Regions from separate parts of the Mus musculus genome. Here region 2 is reported to be linked to region 1. The links are microRNA targets in miRTarBase. Many come from high-throughput screens and were not tested one by one. Region 1 holds a microRNA gene; the other region holds the end of a gene's coding sequence.

Region 1 (4,393 bases):
TAATAAAGCTTACTGCTTTTTCAGACAACCAGAGTTAGTGCCCAACACCAGGCTGACTTGCTCACAGCCGCTTGTAACAAGCTCCAGGGGACCCATGGTCTCTTTTGGCCTCTGAGGTCACCTGTACTCATATACATACCCCACACAGACATGCACATACACTTAGCTGAAAAGAAAGTAAATCTCTGTCTAAACAAAGATCATGATAGAACTTTTCTTCCTCCCCTCCCTTCAGAGCGCTGTCAGATATTGACTCCTTCATTGCCTATGTGGGTGCTGATCTGAAAAGCTGTGACCCAGCTGTGGAGGATCCATGTGGCTTGAACCGTGCACGAGTAAGACTCTCCTGGGAATGGGAAGTTTCACTGGCCACGGGCAGGAGTTAGGGTGTTTCATTGATCAAGTTTCTCAGATTTGTTTTGTCTGTACTGCTGAGAGACCCAAGAGTCTCTCCTGCCCTAAGCTTCTCCTTTCTTTTCTTCTTTAGTCTTGAATTCTTGAGTTAGTTCTCACAACAGAGCAGATGGTCTTTTCTATGAAGTCATTATTTTGGCTTTAAGGATCCCTAAGTAGCTCGGAAGACTGGAGGTGTAATGAGGAAGTAGGTCAGACTTGGTGGCAGGGTGAGTCCCCCCTGCTATTGCTCGCTGGCATGTGAAGTCCTAGGTGATGGCCAAATCTTGAGACCCTGAGGCCTTCCAGTGCACCGGTGCTCAGATAAGCCACTACGGTGAAAGACACATGACCAGCCTGGCATGAGGGGTTGGGGGTTAGGATGCAGGCTGTGGAGTCCTGGATGGAGGGTCAGGTAAAAAAAAAAATGGCAGTTTAAATACTTGGTGGTGGAGCTCATCCAAACCACCCCTACCCCAGGGTCATTAAACCCCTGGAAAGACATGCTAATGAGAAGGGAGCTTCCAGAGCTTCCTCCCACGGGTCCTGAGAAACGGCAGTGAGAAGACCTCCCTTGGACTGGACCATAAGGACAAGGACTGAGGTCTCGCTGGGGTGGGAGACACAGGCTTCTTCCCCGTCTCTGTCGGTGACACTGCGCTGTCCCCCTGCATGTGTGTCTCAGTGCTCTCCCCTTATCCCGGCTGTGTTTTTCCTTCTTCTCTCTAGATGAGCTTTTGTGTGTACAGCATCCTGGGGGTTATGAGACGCACTAGCTGGCCTTCCGACCTAGAAGAAGCCAAAGCTGGGGGCTTTGTGGTGGGCTACACACCCAGTGGAAATCCCATCTTCCGTAACCCCTGCACAGAGCAGATCCTCAGACTTCTCGACAATTTGCTTGCCCTTGTAAGGTGAGTCAGAGATAGTCTTTGTCCTTATTTTAGCCTTAAGAATCTCAAAAGTTTCTAATCTTCTCTTTCTCATTGCACTGGTGGTGTGGGATTAGGTCCTGACTCTTTTGAGAGGGAGGCTCATCTTTCTAAGGACAGTTGGCCTCCCTGTGTGAGGTGTGCTCTCTCCATAGGCATAACAGTGTTGTAGTATCCTGTTTTAGTTTTCAAGACAGGGCCTCTCTGTAACCTTGACTATCGTGGAACTCACTCTGTAGACCAGGCTGGCCTCAAACTCAAGATCGGCCTGCCTCTGCCTCCCCAGTGCTGGGATTAAAGGTGTGCGCAGTTTTTTATTGTTGGTTTGCTGGAGACTGACATGGGCCTTGTGCATCCGAGGCCACAGTGTACCACTGAGGTACATCCCAGCCCTCTCTTATTTCCTTACAGCTTATACCTACTTTTAAGGTTATTTTGTCTAAATTTTTAGTAGGAAGGAAACGGCTTGTTGGGAGCGGGACAGTTGGTTTCTGTAGTAGTGTTTCTCCAGATGGTGTCCATGTGCACTAGTAGAATTTCTCACCAATGACTGAACTCATGTAGGCCAAGCATCCGATGGCTCAGCAAGCCAGAGGAGAGCAGGATGTCTGTCACCTCAGTTTGTGCAGCCTTCACTGTGAGACCTGTGGCATCAGCAGCTACCTGAGCCCTTGCTCAAAAAGCAGAATTAGGGACGCACTGCAGACTGTAAATGTTAACAAGCTACCTGGGAGTTTCATGTACACATGGAAGAGTCAGCAGCGTCACCCTAGGTCACAGGAACTGACCTGCTCACATGAGAGGTGCTCAGGCTAGGCTTGTTGATACTTTTAAACTATAGAAGTGAAACATTTAAAAAACGTGCAGTCCTTGGTCTCTGACTTCTATTGCTCAACATCATGGTGTGGGAGCCATGAGTTATGTGTAGCTGGGTCTGTTTCTTCTTCCCGTCTATGTGGTGTCCTGCTATGTGGCTGTGCTGTTTCTTATTGATCCTGGTGGGCTTTTGGACAGAATTTTGATAACACGCATACAGTAAATTTAATAATAAGCTACTCTCAGGATCTTGAAAGTGTACTTGTAAGATATTTGCATATTCTTGTTGGTTATACACGGGAGGGTAGAAATCCTGAGTTGTAGGCATGCTCATTACAGCCACATCCGAAAGTTTTCCTGGCTAGGGCAGCTTTCAGATGTGGCTGTAATGAGCATGCTCCCAGCAACGGCATACAGGAATGATGGAAAGTTTTTGGTTCTTTCTTTTTGTTGCTTTTGAAGCAGTGTACCGCCAGCCCTTGGCGAGATTGGGGGCGGGGGTGCACTGACAAGGGGTGCATGCAGAAGCCAGAGACGGATGTCAGGGTATCTCCATTGTTAATTCTCTGCCTTATTATTTGAGACACAGTCTTCGACTTGAACCTACACCTGGAAGTTTGGCGAGACTGGCTGACCAGAGAATCCTTGATTGTGTCTATTTCTGTACACTCAGCACTGCTGGCATAGCAAGCATTTTGCTCTCTAAGCCATCTCCCCTTTTCTGTTTTTAATTATGTTTTGGGCTAGTAGATTTTATTCTTGGTAATCCAGGCTGGTTTTTTGTTTGTTTGTTTGGTTGGTTTTTTGGGTTTTTTTGTTTTTGGTTTTTTTTGCATGTTTACAGACATTTATTACTTTGTGTTATTGTCACAGAGGTCAATTTATTCTGTTTTTTTCCCCCCACTTTTTTTTATTAGATATTTTCTTCATTTACACTTCAAATGCTATCCCAAAAGTCCTCTATACCCTCCCCCCTCCCTGCTCCCCTACCCACTTACTCCCACTTCTTGGCCTTGGCGTTCCCCTGTACTGGGGCATGTAAAGTTTGCTAGACCAAGGGGCCTCTCTTCTCAATGATAGCAGACTAGGCCATCTTCTGCTACATATGCAGCTAAAGACATGAGCTCTGGGGGTACTGATTAGTTCATATTTTTGTCCCACCTATAAGGTTGCAGACCCCTTCAGCTCTTGAGAACTTTCTCTAGCTCCTATATTGGGAGCCCTGTGTTCCATCCTATAGATGACTGTGAACATCCACTTCTGTATTTGCCAGGCACTGGCCTAGCCTCACAGGAGACAGCTATATCAGAATCTTTTCAGCAAAATCTTGCTGGCATATGCAGTAGTGTCTGCGTTTGGTGGCTGATTATGGGGTAGACTCCTGGGTGGGGCAGTCTCTGGATGGTCCATCCTTTTGTCTTAGCTCCAAACTTTGTCTCTGCAACTCCTTCCATGGATATTTTATTCCGTATTCTAGGGAGGAATGAAGTATCCACACGTTGGTCTTCCTAAAAATATGGAACGCTTCACGAATTTGTGTGTCATCCTTGCACAGGGGCCATGCTAATCTTCTCTGTATTGTTCCAATTTTAGTATATGTGCTGCCGAAGTGAGCACCCAGGCTGGTCTTTAACTCACTGTGACCGTCTACTTCCCAACCGTCACCATACCCAGCCTAGGGTATTTGTTTGTTTGTTTGTTTTTATGATCACATTTAATTAAAAGTAAAAACAGCAGGCAGGTATACTGCAAAGCCATTTCCAGCACATATAATCAGATCACTTGGGGCTAAAGCAGGAGACTCTTGGGCACAAAATATTGTCTCAGAAAAACCCAAAACAAATGGGCTTGTTTCACATGCCTTTAATACTAGTCAGGCTGGTATCTGTGGGGTCACGGCCAGTTTGGTCTACAAGTTCAAGACCTTGTCCTTTTTTTTGTGCATTGGTGTTTTTACTGCATGTATACCTGTGTGAAATTGTCAGATCCCCTGGAACTGGAGTCACAGACAGTTGTGAGCTGCCATGTGGGTGCTAGGAAGTGGACCCAGGTCCTCTGGAAGAACAGCCAGTGTTTTTAACCACTGAACTAGCGAGACAGCCCCAAAACCTCCTCTTCTTTAAAAAAAAAAGAGGGGGGAGAGAAATTATGGCTCATTTGCTTAGAGTCAAGTTTAAATTCATTCAAGTAATTATATCAGACATTATTTTATAGTATTACCACCATCCCAAAGTTCAGAGAGAATTTTGTTTCAG
Region 2 (4,320 bases), not on the chromosome of region 1:
CATGCATTTATTTCTATGTTCTTTTCCCCCCACCTATGTTCCCAACAGAATAAGCTTCATGAAGACAGAGACACTAAGTCTGGTGGTACAGGCCTCTAACTCCAGCGCTCAAAAACAGAGGTGAAAGAAATGCCCTAAGTTTGGTACCAGCATAGTGAGACTTTGTGTCAAGAAAAGGAGAAAAGCGAAAACACCTCACAGACAAACAGTAGGTATTAGTTCCTTAAACAGCTGCTAGCACACTGAATGTAACCAGGCTGACAGAATTTATCAAGCAGAGCTTGAGATTTCCAACAAGATCTGATAGGTTATAGATGAGAAAATGAATTGGTTTTTGAAAAACTGTTTCTTTGTAAAAAGAACGTGAATTTCTTTATTAAAACAACAGATAACACAACGTTCGTAAGAATGATGTCCTATCGAGTAAGATCATAAGGAGCATACATGGACACAGCTAATTCAAGCCCACAGGTAGATAATGCTGTGTCTTCACTGTGCCTCAGTTTACCCAACATAAAATAAGGCAACTGCATCAACAGTGCAGTTGGGATTCACCGTGGTAAGATGTGTGAAACACTGCAGCACAGAGCAACAAAGCAATGGTAATAAAAAGGGAGGCAATGATGTTACTGCCACTGGAGTCCAAAACACATTTCCTATCTTTTCAAATAATTCATGGTAAGAATGGGAATTCACTTTCTAAATCTACACAACTTGGGGGGGGGGGGAGCAGACTAAGCAATTGTTCCCAGAAGAGCACCTCAAAAGAGGTGGGGATGAAAAAACTATAATTCTATCCCCAGGTACTTTATTTCAAAACAAAATACAGCACAGTAAAAATGTCCATAAATAATGTGGAATTCTAAAACTAGGCAGATTTGCTTCAAAACAGCTTACATAAACTTTTGGTGTCAGACAGAAGCTTGTATTGTCTTTTGTTATTTGTGAGAAAGGAAGGGTCAGTTTTCTCTAAGAGTATAGCAGCCCTGACAAGCCAGCCACACTCCAGAGGAAGGCCACTCAGCCAGGACTATTTGGCAGCACAACTTGGCCTTGGTGGGATGGAGGGTGAGGGTGAGTGGGGTGGGGTGAGGTAGGGGCTCAAAGTCAGGTGTGAAAGGAGCCTGGGAGGAGTTAGGGGAGGAGTGAGATCAGACCAAGGAGCAGTGTAAATTTTAACCCTTCCACTGCTTTCACAGTGCCCTGCATGGAGACAAAGCCTGAAGTGAACTGAGCAGCCTGAGCAGCCTCTGGGGCTGGAAGGCCTAGCGCTCGTTCGCAGCTGTTTCATGGAATCATCCTTCTCTCACACTCCATGGGGTTCACATCAGTGGGAGCTCTAAGAGGGCAGATACAGAAGCCGCGTCATTACAAACCTGCATTTATTCATTGATCCTGTTTCCTTCTGTCATAGAATAACCCAGCGCCTCTGAGATTAATAAGAAAACCAAATTTTAAAATCAAAAACCACATTCCAAACGTCTTAAAAGATATTTTTTTGTTCAATTCTTTCGTAAAAACATTGGTCACTATTTAACATACAGAGGCAACAGAATGCACCCAGTTTACATGCATCAACAAGTCCATAAATCATAATACACAAACACCATGGATTCTGAACAGACAGGACTACAGCAGCGCACGATGCCGTCCGCTGCAGCTCTAACGCTGATAGAGAACAGCTGCTATGAGAAAGAGGGCAGTCCAGTTTCAGCTGGCATCAGAGTCTCTGTGGTGAAAAACGCTCAACACGGGTGGTATGGAGTCCTTAACTTAAAGGGGCCACCTTCAGAAATCACACTGTGCAAAGTACCATGTTAGGTCAGAGCCAGAGCTCGAGAGAACGAGACTTTAATTTTGTTTGTCTGCTTTTGAAAACGAAGTATCATAATGATTGAAAGCATTTTATTGATTAAATATGATTCAAAAATTTTGACTGAAAATTAGCATGTCTTTCGTGTGAAAGTTACACCTCCCATAAGTGAAGTTTTCAACAAAACTGGCATAATTCTGTTAACAGAAATTCTGGTAATAAGGACGAGGAGCTTTTTCAAGAGAAAGAAAAAAAAAATCAACAATCCAAAGTGCTTTCTAAACTCCAAGACAAGTTTCTGGAGATGGTATTTAATACAAAGAAGAGTTAAGCACCACAATACAGCACTGACAAACAAAGACAGGACATGCCACCGATACACAAGGGAAGGAAAGAGCACTCACATGTCTACACAGAAAGTAAAATGTGCATTCTAGCCTTTCACCTGGAACCTTGTGCTTGCTGTCGTGGGACATGTGAGCAAAGATGAATCTGTCTGCCACCTCAAGTCATGTGATGCTAGCCTGACCAAAGGAGAATATTACTTGTGTATATGAGAATTTGATGTTTTTTACTTTTATGCTATCTTTCCTTAAATTCTATGATAAATGGACAGGACAAAGTGCAAAGAAAACAATATATGACATGCTTTCTTATGGAAAAGAAATTTTCTTTAAAAGGAGCCCAAAGTAATTATGTGCAAACAAAACTCCAAAATAAGATTTAGAAAGCATAGTCACGTGAAGTTCATCTTTTCCATCTACTTAGGAAACATGAATAATTTTAATTCCCCAAGGATTAAATTCTAACTTCAGTTTCTCTCTTCCACATGTCCAATTATTCTGCTACATATAACTTTTTAACATGTAGAGCAAATGAGATAAAGGGGGGGGGCAGTTCAGCAATTAAAGCTCGGGATTCTCAGGACGGTGTTCAGGTCAGACACAGGACACAGCTGTCACACACACACACACACACACACACACACACACACAGCTTTCACCAACTGTGTGCATAACCACCACGAAAGAAGAAAACCATCCACCAAAGGGAGAAAGGACCTCTCCTTGTGTTACAGACTAGGTAGCAAACTAGAAAATACATGTTGTTTCTAAAATATTCATCCAGAAAAAAGTCACAAAGCAAGATCTAATGAGATTAGGATTAAGCATGGGATATTTTGGCTCCTTCCGTTCCATGAGACAATGACAACACATCAGGGGAAACTCTTTCCAAAGCCATAGAACTGATGCTTCCTGAACCTTCCCGGCAGCACTGGAACTTTATCATCCACCCCACACAACCTCCTTGAAAATTTCCATTTTCTATAAAAAAAAAATTATTTTAGCCTAATTTCCAAATGTCATTATAAATTTCTTAGTTTTCCCTACTCTCTTAATCCCTATTTTAAGAGACCGGACATATCCAAGCACTGCCTTTCTCTCACAAACCAGAATTCACTGTGTGATTGTTCAAAGTTGGGAAATTAAAGGTAAAGAGCCAATCAGAGATAAGTACACTTGTTAGCATGTATGGTTTGTGTAAAAGGGAGGCCAGAGAATTGTTCCATCCGATTAACCTCTGGCTCTTAACACAGCATGGCTCAAAATTAAAGTGAATCAGACATACTTAAAACACTGCTTCATTTTGGATAGATGTGAAAGGTTAAAAATTGAATGAATTTATATGATTGTAAATGTTCACTGTGAATTAACACAGAAGTAATACCACCAGACAGGGAGTTAAAATGTTAACTGATATTAAACATCTTAAATAATTTGGAGAAACCGCAGCATTGATATAACCATAGGAAAAATAAAAATAAAACCATAAATAGGTATTCCCGTGCATGTTATGTAACAAATATGCAAACCCAAGTCAGAACAGTACAGTACAGTACAGTATCAGTGACTGAAAGTTAAATAATATCTTGATACACAGAGAAGGAAAAGATGACATGTCGACTGCCATTGATGGAAAGCATCAACAATTTACATAAAATGATACTAAGTAAGTTTAAAAAGATGTCTTAAGAAGACCAAGCCACAATAAGTTAGTGTTTCCATAGTACATGCTGAGTTATTTGATCCCGTATCTATACACTGCTACTGTCTTCACTGCTAACTGTGGGGACAGTATAGTTAATGATGAGGTACATTAGTTTACATCTTCTTATAGGTGTTCTAAGGTGATTAATTTGTTGTTTCCAGTTTCTCATCCTCTTCACTTCCTCCAAAGAAAATCAACGGGAACATTCCTAGAATGCAGCCGATCGTCACCCCAACAGCCTTGCCCTACGGAAACAGAAGAGAGTACTTCTTAAAATTACATGTCCCGAAAAGAGGTATCCTTGCTTACAGACTGATGACAACAGCCCACTGCCATACACTATGTAATTCCCACTACAACTGTATTCCTATTGATTACAGAAACCTACGTATTAAAATAAGCTACCAAATGTTCAAGAACACGTCATTTTAAAATTTAAAGGAACAGAAGAAAAAAAA

What was found. Region 1 holds the annotated microRNA mmu-miR-693-3p (GCAGCUUUCAGAUGUGGCUGUAA, at 2,505-2,527, shown strand). A microRNA usually pairs through its seed, bases 2 to 8, with sites in the 3' UTR of a target mRNA and lowers its output. Matches are read on the target gene's strand: a 7mer-m8 pairs with bases 2 to 8, a 7mer-A1 pairs with bases 2 to 7 and ends in A, and an 8mer does both.
Region 2: miRTarBase lists Tmem65 as a target of mmu-miR-693-3p. Seed matches in the 3' UTR shown: 7mer-m8 at 2,807-2,813.

Annotation. Positions count from the first base shown.
Region 1 is chr17:46,229,077-46,233,469 of GRCm38, forward strand. Mir693 (microRNA 693) reads left to right here and starts at 2,455; the gene lies at 2,455-2,543. Xpo5 (exportin 5) reads left to right here. Exons shown (of 32, transcript NM_028198.3): 19 at 236-335; 20 at 1,123-1,304. It overlaps Gm22474 (a small nuclear RNA gene), which reads right to left and starts at 3,755; the gene lies at 3,649-3,755.
Region 2 is chr15:58,780,904-58,785,223 of GRCm38, forward strand. Tmem65 (transmembrane protein 65) reads right to left here. Exons shown (of 7, transcript NM_175212.4): 7 at 1,366-4,107. The coding sequence ends at 4,006. Among named protein-coding and RNA genes, the nearest start is that of Gm41329, 23 kb to the left of the region's middle.